2 linked regions of the Caenorhabditis elegans genome follow. The protein of the gene in region 1 interacts with the protein of each later gene in a biochemical or structural test. Each region holds a gene or a part of one and is shown in the gene's direction. Other genes may lie near its edges. The genes, in order: unc-98 and unc-96.

Region 1 (5,985 bases):
TTCGGATTGGAAAACGATAAAGGTGATTTTAAAAAAATCATTTTCATAGTTATTCATCAACTTGAGACGGAAAGTTGGAATGTTTTCATTGACGGACTAGACAAAATATGTTGACTGTTACTTGGTAATAAAAATAGATAGAATTTGTCATTTGAATTTAAAAGTTATGAATTAAGGCATTTTATATCGAGTGTGATGGATTTCAGGTAATTCTCTGATAATAAACGCGAAGAAACCGGAAATATAGACATGGTGCGTTGTTCTAAATTCATATTCAAAATGTTCCTCTGCCCACAAAATGAAATTAATATTTGACACTAAAAACGAATGTAGTATTAAAAAAAGAACCAATAATTTGATCCTATAAAAACGTTTTAAAATGTACCAGTTTTTTTAAATTTTTATTTATTCGTTTATTAGCTTTTTACCCCTTGAAATTTATCAAGGGGTAAAAAGCTAATAAACGCTGCGAAGGCGGGGCGGGAACGTTTAACCGGTAATAATGTAGTTTTACTGTTCCATAAGGGAAGATACTTATGTAAGAAGTTTTTGTGAGGCCACAAGTACACAGTAAGTATGGAAATCTAGGAGGTCCGGCTTTTCTGACAAGAGAGGATTTTATAAAGTAGGGCTATTGGTTCGTGGTATAAACGTATTGACTCAAAATGTGCTGGAAAAAAAAAACAAATTTCGTAGTGAGTCGCTTGTTCTCTTTTAAAACTTTATATTTAGCCCGAGTAGTGAGACTGTTTCATATACCGTATTTCTTCTATTAGTCTTGCATGCAAGACTAATTTTCCATTGGTCTGTAGGGTTGCAAGACTATTAGAGGCTGCAAGACTAGTTTTCGAATGCCCCATCTTTGAAAAAATGACCTATTTTTTGTTGAAAACTTAACTCGATAGCTTGCTGAACGATAAAAATATATACTTTTGCAATATTTCATAAATTATTTGATCATTTTCTAGGTTATTTTCTCAAAAATATCAAATTTGCTGACGTTTCCGCAAAGTACTACTGGTCTTGAAAAAAGAGGGATGCAAGACTATTAGAGACTGCAAGACTAATAGAGGCTGCAAGACTAATAGAGGAAATACGGAAAACTGTTTTTTAATGAAAAAGGGTCTGGTTACTTTATACTTGTTAAAAATTTAACAATTAAATGCATTTTTGTTGTGTAAAATTTCAACATTGGTGCACTTTTAGCCCGCTTGTGATGCATGAAAGAAAGATCCGATCAATCCAGAAGGTGGTGCAGCTCCAGTAAAATGTTTATTCCAATTAAAAGTCATAAAAGTCCCACATAACCGTTTAGATTCTTGAGAATTTTCATTCAAAGTTGTGGTAAATTGCCACAACTAGAATAAGTTGAACCTATGAAAAATATTAGAGCAATTCTGCATTTTTTTAAATGTCTACAATATATGTATATACAAATGATCAAATCATAGTTAGAATATGAAACTTGTATGTAGAAAAAACTATTTTTGCCGTGTTCCAAGATTGTGATTTGTGAAAACTGAATGATAACTACCTTTTTGAAAGCAAAATTATTTTAGATTATTTATCACTGTATAAAGGAGTGATTACAAAAAATCACCCTGACCGATGCTTCACATTTAAAACAATAGCTTCATAATCCTGCATAGTTTCAAATAATAGTTTTACAGTATGTAATTTAATATTTTTACAATTCATATTGAATAATTTCTAAAATATAAACTTCGTTGATCCTTTTCGATTATTATTTCAAAAAAAAAGTACTCTTTCTTTTGTTTGTACCCACATCTCCAAATCATTTGCACGTGTTCAACGTACTACACAAAATGTATGTCACCCACAAACACTAGCATCTGTGCCATTCATTTCAGAAACATGATTCCGCTTTGAAGTTATGTCGAGCACTGCAATCTAGACGCTTTTTTTACTTGTGTCGTCAAGATCTCTTTCTTCTTTAAGACAGTTGAGCAAGATTGAGGGAGACTGCAGACACAGAAGTGTCCCGCAAAACATCCAACGAGGAAAGGAAATGAGAGAGCGGGAGCATTTCAAAAGAGCACATCAGATCCAGAGATTGCAGAGGCGATTTCTCGCATTTTTCGATCGCGACGAGTCTCTTGAGTTTACACTGTGTGTTGAGCACCCCAGCTAGCCACACCGAGCATTCTACCCTCTGACAATTTTCACCCCCATTCCGACGACTAACCGCTGATATCCAGATACAACAATGGATGACGACATCTTCAAAGAGGTATTGTTCTTGATCACTGTGAGCTTTACTTAAATTTGAATTTTTTAGGCAAGAAAGGAAAGAGATGACTTCGAAGAGTTGATGAATGCCTGTGATCTTGCCAAGATGTCCGTGAAGAACAATGAAGTGAGTTAGAGAAACCGAGAGATGACGGAAAAACCGGAGAAAAACGCGGGGGTGTCTGTATTGCGAAATGATTAAAAAAATACCTTCCAGATGGTTCATGGTCTAGAAACCTTCGGCATCAATGGAGAATCGTCAGAAAATGGAAATAAGGAAAAGCCCAAAGAGATCATGAAAGTTGTTGCCCCAACAGTTGAAGCATATGTGAGTTTGGTAAAATTTAAAAAAAAGAATTTCAGAGATTGAAATGTTTGATAGGTTTTAAGGCAAATTTTTTTAAATGTTTTTAAGATTGGATTCATACTGACATTTTTCAACCCTTGGATACAAGTGAAAAAATGTTGAATTATCTGAATAGTGTCTGAAAACGCTTAAATACTTTAAAACAGCGCCATCCTAATTTGATTTTAAAAGCATCAAGTAAATTATTGTAGGTCGGAAGTTCAAGTGCTCAAACTCCAACAAAATCGAGTGGCGGTGCTTTGGATGGCAGTGATCAACAGGTTTGTTTTATTGTTTTTATGAAGTGTGTGTTTTTGTGCATTTTTTGTTGAATAGTTCGTGCTTTGAATAATTTTTAATTAAAAAAACATTGATTAGGAATGTAGTCTATAGGTTTGTACAGGCAAAATTTCCGGAGAAAATGAAACTATATTTTTTGAGTTGTTTGAGAGAAATTGTTAATTTTTTGCTGAATTTTAGATAGTTTAGAAAAGGTTTTATTTTCTAATTTTATAATTAGCATACTAGTAAAAACTTATTTGCCAGAATACACAAAGACAAACTCAGTTCTAATTTAATTTAAATTTAGCCCATTGTCGAAGTAACCATGTCCTGTACATTTGTTGGAAGAGAAAGCTCAGCAGGATGCTAAGAAGAAAAAAAAACAAATTATGATTTTTGTTGTTTGTGATTTTATTTTTCTCTTATCATTTTCAAATACTAACTTGGAATATAATTTCTTGCTGCTCCTTATGCTTTTTTCCTTCAACCTATCCATTTCCATTCTTCTCCTTTCCCAAGCTAATTCACATGGGTATTGTTGACTTACTCTTGTTTGTGAATAAACATTTTGCTGTTGTTGTTGAAGTTGATGCGCTCACTTTCAGCACACGAACCAAATGTGCGGAATATAGATGTGAGCATTGACAGCTTGAATGTGAAAGAATGAGGGAAATGGGAATAAAAGGAAGAAAAATATAAGATGAAGGAAAAACTGAAGAAGGGAGGGAATGAAGAAGGCGTTAAATGAAAAAGAGACTCTTTTAGTCGATGAAAAGTGATTATTGCAGGAAGTGCGTCAGGACGGAACTAGTGTGCAAAAAGATGACAACGGATTTGTATTCTACAAGTGTCGTTTCTGCGGACTCACATTCAACTTCATGAACACTCTCCGTGCACACGAGAGAATACATGACGTTTCACAGGTTTTCATTCGCTGGATTACTTATAGAAACTCTTTGTTTCAGCCATATGTCTGTGGAAAATGCGGAGACTCATTTGAATTTGCTTGCCAACTGGAATATCATGCCGCTCAGCACTCAGAAATTGACGGGTACAAGTGTGAATGCGGAAGGACGTTCTTTTCTTACACGGAAATGTTATATCACAAGCACACGGACGATCCACTCGAATTGATAGGTGCTCCAGAGGTTTGTCTAATTGAGAAATCTGAGAAATAATAAATTTACTAGATTTTACTAATCAGTAGAGCTTTTTGAAACAAAATCTGAATTACGAACTTCTCGGAAAAAAATCAACAGAATCTAGCTATGGCTGTTTTAATGTTTGATTTTTTATTCTTCAGTTCTTTCGACTCAAAATCTATCAAAACCTTTTCATCCAGCCATTCGCTTTTCAATTTTGTATTTGGTTTTCATAGTCCTTGATGTGAGAAAATTGTGAACAAAAACTTTGTGTGTCTTGGCTTTCTGACGTAAAAAAAATATTTTTCTCAACAAAAAAAAATTGCTGATAGCCTGTGAGAGGGTGCAATTTGATACGACTGCACTTACTTCTTGCATCACAACTGTTAAACAGATGGAATTTCAGTGCAAAAAAAAGAAAACGTTATGAAACAGAAGTTATGAAACCGAAGAAAGTTCCAAATTTAAAAACATGTTTTGGTCGTTTACCTTACGTTGTTTTGTTAATGAAGATACGTTTCAAGCAATTAGGGACCAAAAATTACCACAATTTGCTACCTAAGTCTTTGTGACTGGGAAAAATTGAAACAACTCGAGTTTTTGACTGAAATTTGGGTATTGCCTTTTCAAAATTTTGAACCCCCATAAACAAGTTTTTAAGTAATTTTTGAGAAGTAGTATTTCAAATTTCGTTCGTTTGGTTTTGTTAAAAATCACACGGAAAAAAAGCCGAAACCGTTTTTTTACTTTAACAAGGAATACATTTGTGAGAAGAATGAAGATTACCAATATAATTTGAAATACTTCAGACAACCACAATAAAAGTAAGCAAGAAGCGAGTCCTACCGGTCTCCGAGCAAGATCTTCCACAGCCAGCTTTCGTTACTGAAGGATACGAGCCGAAGCATCCACTCCGAGTGTACAACGACGTTCGTTCAAAACCATACATTTGTGAATATTGTTCGAAAAGCTACTCTGACAGTCGTGGTCTTGCATATCACATGTACAGTCATCGTGGAGAGAAGTACTTCAATCCTCGAGCATCTCGTTATATGATGGGAAGGGAAGGAGTTGGGTACACTGATTCCAGAAGCTACTATTTATTCCCAAGAACAAGCGGATACGTGACTCCGCGATTCTGAGCAACCCCTGAGTATTTAAAATTTTTCTAATTTAGTATTTAAATCTATCCAGATCTTGTAAAATATATATATATTTCAACATCGGCTAGCTTTAACAATATTTGTCCTTCAAAATGTATATTCGATATGGTTCTTTCATATAACTCATATTTCTTTCTTTCAACTAAATCAACGTTTTTCTTTAGTGTTATCGTTTTCTCATTTCTTGTCATTTTGTCTTTTCCTCACATTTTTAAGACGCTCGTTATAAAGACGGTCAGCAGCAGAAACTCGTTTTGTGTTCAACATAAACTACAATTGACTACAAAGCACAAAAATCGTGTGTTTCCAACGCACTCAGACACACTCTATAAATACTGTTCTCGTCATGTCTTGTTGGTATTTTCTTCTTTCCCTGAAATATCGATTCCTGGTCAATCGTACAATTGGGACCATGTTAAGCGGGAAAGACATTGACCGCTAGCACAAATGTTGTCCGGCTCTCTCACAATCAATCTTTCTTCTGTGATGTGTTACGACAACCCACAACCGATTTTTTGATAGCAAAAATGATAAGATGATGATAGCGAGACAGCTCAATTGTTCGTTGTTCTAGAAGTTGTACGTTTTTTTAAATTTATTTTGCATCATTTTGAATTCATTATTTAAAAATGTATAAAATTGTTTAATTAACGGTTCTCGAAATATTTTGCCACTTCACAGCCACGATATCTCACTCAATAAAGCAAATGCAATTTGGGACACGCACTTGTGTTCGTTATTAATATCGAGTCCCCATTGAAAAAACTAGGCCACGCGGCCGTGAAGTACTCTCGGAAAACTA
Region 2 (4,929 bases), 7.0 Mb from region 1:
ATTCAAAAACTAACAAAATGTCCAAAAAGTTATATCATGTTCTTCGTATTAGTAATTAATAAAATGTTTTTATTTCATCAAACTGGGAACAAAAATCAAGTCAAGATTATAGGGAGCTTTTAAGTGACTACGTAAGAAACCATTTGAAGTGAAAAATGAAGGCGAGTCCAGAATAAATCTGACGGGAGAAAGTGTTGATGCTTTCAAATTATTGATCTTTCGAGGGATCTGGCAAAAATTTAGTTGCGCGCCAGATTAAAATCAAAAATTAAGCTATAGTGGTTTTTTCAAGTATAATGTTGATTTTGTGTTTTTTTTCCTGGTTTCGAAAGCACTTTGGCAATTTTCCAAGAAGTTTGAATGATTAAGAAAAATCTAAAATTGTTGATCAACTTTATCATAAGTATTTCAGTCAACACAGATTTTTTTCCAGAAATTTTGAGAGTTATCTTTGATTCCGGAAATGACGGTCTTTTCCTCACTGCTTTTATATTGCCATTTTTTGTACGAGCCACTGTTGCTTTGATTATCTTTCGATTAATTCTGATTCAGGTTTACTTTTTTGATAATTCAAATTTTCAGAGCTACCTGGCGTTAAATGTCACCCTTTTTCCCTTTTTTCAAGAGAAAATTAGTTTTGTTTGTTTCAAGAAACGTTATTGACAATAAATCTTAGGAGTTATCTTAATCTAAAAACTGGGAAAAAAGTAAAACGAATTCAGTCTACAGAATTGAAGTACAGTAAATGATTTTTTTCATCAGCTAGAACATTTTAGAAGCCCTTTTAGATTTCAGGTTAAGCTATCTCCCAAGCATGTAGCCGCAACTGAGATTCTGCAGTTGTTCTAGAAGATTTTCACATCCCCCATACGGCTATTATTTGTCTGAAATTACCGTTTCAAATTTCAGCGGCCTGATCAAGCCTGATTAGATTCATATAATTGTAAAACAAACTGCAATACTTTAACTTGAAAAAATCAGTAACCCGATGGCAGCACCATTTTTCACAAACTGAAACACGAGGACGCCGGCCCGATTTGTGGGGGGGGGGGGGGGGGGGGGTTTGAGAAAAATCATCGAATCGCAGCTAGTGCTCTTTTGCCGAGGGACAAGGAAGAGAGAAAGAGAGGAGATACGCCCGTTGGCTTTACACAGGTTTTGTGTTGAGATCGTCAAGAAGACGGGAGGTAGTCGGGAGGGGGGGGGCGAGAGTGCAGTGATCAGAGAGGCGCAGTCGTTCCCGGCTCTCTGAGCACGCACACTTTTCTCCTCTATTCACGGGAAGACCTCTCAACATTCACCCCACTCTTTTATCTTTTGTATTCGGATTTTTGTTTTTTTTTGTTGGTGCTTTAATTAATTTATTTTTCGATTTTGTTAACTTTTTTATTTTGCTCTGCTAAGTATGTTTAATTTCTCTAAATCTTCAAAACTTACATGTATATATTTGAAAACATGCATCAAATTCTAATTGAAAAAGCCTCCAACCAACTATTGCGAAATACTTTTGTTTTTTATATTGTGGGCCAAAAACACTGATACCCCTATAAAAACATTACCTGTATCCCGAAAAAAACTTGAAACTCTCGCGCGACATTGACATTCCAATCAAAAAGGCGGTGAGCAAATCCCCTGAGCACCACTCAATTTCTCAAACAGAAAAGTTTCTGTCTCATACATTCTTGCCAACTTTTTCATCTTTTTCTACTCATCCCTGAGCTGTTACTTTCCAGAAGACTTGGATAATGAGTGAAACTGAAGATGTGAATCTCAACCTGGATCCGGAGAAACCCAAAGTTCGATCAGTTGTGAGATCAGACAGCGGATTGGAAAATGAGATTCCTGTAAGAAGAGAAGGGTGGTGTGAAAAACGAGAAATATATATATATATGTATATGCTTTGAAAGTTTTGAGTTTTTTGAGAGTTTAGGCAGCATTTTACATTTTATCGGTTTGCACCCAGTCCGTACATTTTTCGAAAAGCTTTAGCCTATTTTTGAAGATAGTTGAAAATTTTGAAATTGTTTCTCTTCAGTTGGGATTTTTGAATGTCAAATACTTTGATTTAAAGTCTAAGGGAATACAAAAAAGTATGAACTGGAAAATAGTTTTTCAAAAGTCAATACCTCCCTTTCATATGAACTGAGAATCTTTGATCACATTTTACAAGAGCATAATATAGAATGTAGTGTATGTCTAGACAATTTTTCTGTGATGCCGAAAAAAATATAGAGGATTAAAATAGACAAAAAATGTAGACTATGATCACAAAACGCTCATCTTATTAAATATACTCAATGTTTCTTAAAACAAACAAGTAGTTTGGGATCTGGATAGATTAGGATATCAATTGATTAATTCGCAGTACGAGATTTAAAAAAAACTGTTTATGCAGTTTTGTAAAAAAAAAAGACTAATAACGTCAACAAAAATTATATTGGATGCAACTCTCAAAAATTAATTTGAAATTGGTAAATCTTCACGCTTTAGTTTATGACAGAATTAGAAATTCTAGTAATTGCATAAATCCGAATACTCTCCATTTTCCAGAAAATTTCCGGAACCTCATCAGCATTAATAGAAGAGGGGTTATCTCTGCTCAACCTCAAATCTTCTTTGAGCCCAAATGTTGCTCCAGTTGCCGTAGATTTGTTGGATAGAACGTGCCCAAGTCCAGATTACGGGCTGACGTCAGAGAGGTTAGTGAACTTTTTTCTTTCAAGTAGTGAGCTCCCATTATATTTCAAAAGTTTACGATACCGTGTATAAAAGATATTTTGATTGTTTTTTCCTCCACGGGTTTAAGCTTCGGCTGAGGCTTTCACTCATCAATTTGGTTTTATTAATGCATATTTATCTTGAAAAATGGTTTTAGCTACTTTTATCTATTGCTTGAAGTGAATTTCATCTGCGTGTGAATTTTCAACTACTTTTAAATAAATTTTCGCTGAATTATGGTTCTGCAACCTATAATACTATGTTAGCAAATGTAACTCAAAAAGTACCTAACAAGAACAAAAACAAGATTGTAAGAGTTATCAAAAATGACCGAGAGCAAGATTTCTGCCAGATGTGTAACTGAGTGAGATATGTGTACGGCGGAAACAACACATTACACAATGACCCGCAGAGTTTGATTAGATTTGTTAATGTTTTGGTTTTGAACGCGGTGAAAAAGAGATCAACTAGGACTTGTCAAAATCCAAAGTAATCATATTTTAAATGTTTATTTTTTTATCAAAAGAACAAATCGGTGTAATTTGACACCTTTAGCAAGAATTATCACTGAAATCGTGACGAGAGCTAAAAAAACTAGATGCGTCTTCAGGCTACAGTAGCAAATTGTTGACAGTGAAAATTATAAGTATTGTTTTTTGATTCCTAGTTTATTCTTTTTTTTTAAATTTTAACCTTTATAAAAATATTAAAGATTTCCACTTCTCAGTTACCTCAACTGTGATTTTTGCCGTGAAGCAAAGATGATTGAAAAATACCGTTAGAATCTTGTATTTTTGACCAACTTTTCTACGCAGTGGTAACACCATAATGATGATCGTAACTATCGCAATAAAAATGTTCCCACTTCTACCATAATCATTAGTCCTTCTTTTCACATGTTTTTGAACATGTTAGCAGTGTTGACTTTAAATTAATTTTTCTCCGGGCTGTCATGTACCTACTGGATACAGGGAGGATATGTCTGAAAACTTAATTTGGACTATTCCAAGAACACTATAAGTGACTGTAACTGCTAAATACAATTTATTGAACTTCCACAGCTTGATATTACTGATAGTAAAACATTTACTCATGACAATTATATTAGGTGTTCAAGGACTAATTATAGAGCTTGTAAAATTTGAAAAAAATCGGTTGCCAAATTGGGAATTTTTAAAAATTTTCTTGTATGTAGTGTTTCAGTCTGTGACATTTTTTTAGAGAAAATTCTATTATAATTTGTGTATATCAATGGAAAATTTTGGAAGTAGATGTTTATTGGTTTCATTCACAACGGAACAAGATGATTTTTTCTCGTAAATGGCATGACTCGGAATAAACTTTCTAGTGTTAAAAATGATAGAAAAAATCTTAGATTTTTTAGAAAAATGCAATTCTAACCAATTGTTATGAACGCACGTGCATTCATTCGAAAAAAATAACGTGGGAGGCTCCAAAGTCTAAAAGACCGCTGATAAATTTAACTGTAAACTGCTGAAATATACAAAAAAAAAAGTGAAAACAAGCAAATTATTAAGGTAACCTTTCTAATAGTTTTTAAAGAAATCGTTAAGCTCATAGAAATGTATTTCTATAATTGCGCCTCATCATGTATGTATTACTTTTCAATGTTTGATAGAGTCATTAATAATTTGAAAAATATTGTTTTTCCCCAAATGTTTGAAATAATGTACAAAATAATGTTTTCATGTGATGCTTTAAACACATAGTTGGTTTTAAGTAAAAAAACAAGCCTAAGAAAATTAGTTTAAGTTAAACAATCACATGCGAAACTTAAAAAAACTGCTCGTTTCAGAAATTTAAAAATGAAAAACTCAGAAGCAGAACTGTTTTTTTCGCTTCTTATCTGCGCTATTCCAGCATTCACGTGGTGTCAGAGTATCTCATTTTGGTTTGATCTACATAGATCTACAAAAAAATGCGGGAGTTGAGACGCAAGGTTCTCAACTGATTTCGCATGGTAAAGAATGTGCTGACGTCACATTTTTTGGGCGAAAAAATTTTCGCATTTTTGTAGATCAAACCGTGAAAGAACATCCTGACACCACGTGAACATTTAAAAAGCCTTTGTTTTTGCGTGACAATTGTTCTTACGGTTTTCAGTTTAGTGAGATTCGGACGTAGTCTGAACTTATTACTTAATAATTTATTATTTTTGTATCACAGTTTGAGTCTTTTCAAATACTTTCC

What was found.
Region 2: the proteins of unc-98 (region 1) and unc-96 interact in far-western blotting, tested with the Caenorhabditis elegans proteins (one study listed by BioGRID).

Annotation. Positions count from the first base shown.
Region 1 is NC_003284.9:7,569,817-7,575,801, reverse strand, and holds unc-98 (Zinc finger protein unc-98), read left to right. Parts: upstream 1-2,212; 5' UTR 2,213-2,227; coding exon 2,228-2,251; intron 2,252-2,299; coding exon 2,300-2,377; intron 2,378-2,467; coding exon 2,468-2,578; intron 2,579-2,808; coding exon 2,809-2,877; intron 2,878-3,425; coding exon of another isoform or gene 3,426-3,445; intron 3,446-3,666; coding exon 3,667-3,801; intron 3,802-3,843; coding exon 3,844-4,026; intron 4,027-4,829; coding exon 4,830-5,162; 3' UTR 5,163-5,428; downstream 5,429-5,985. Other genes in the region: pcyt-1 (Putative choline-phosphate cytidylyltransferase), read right to left, coding at 3,426-3,445. UniProt on the Caenorhabditis elegans protein: Probable transcription factor required for muscle structure.
Region 2 is NC_003284.9:618,095-623,023, reverse strand, and holds the start of unc-96 (CRE-UNC-96 protein), read left to right. Parts: upstream 1-1,733; 5' UTR 1,734-1,745; coding exon 1,746-1,844; intron 1,845-2,550; coding exon 2,551-2,699; intron 2,700-4,929.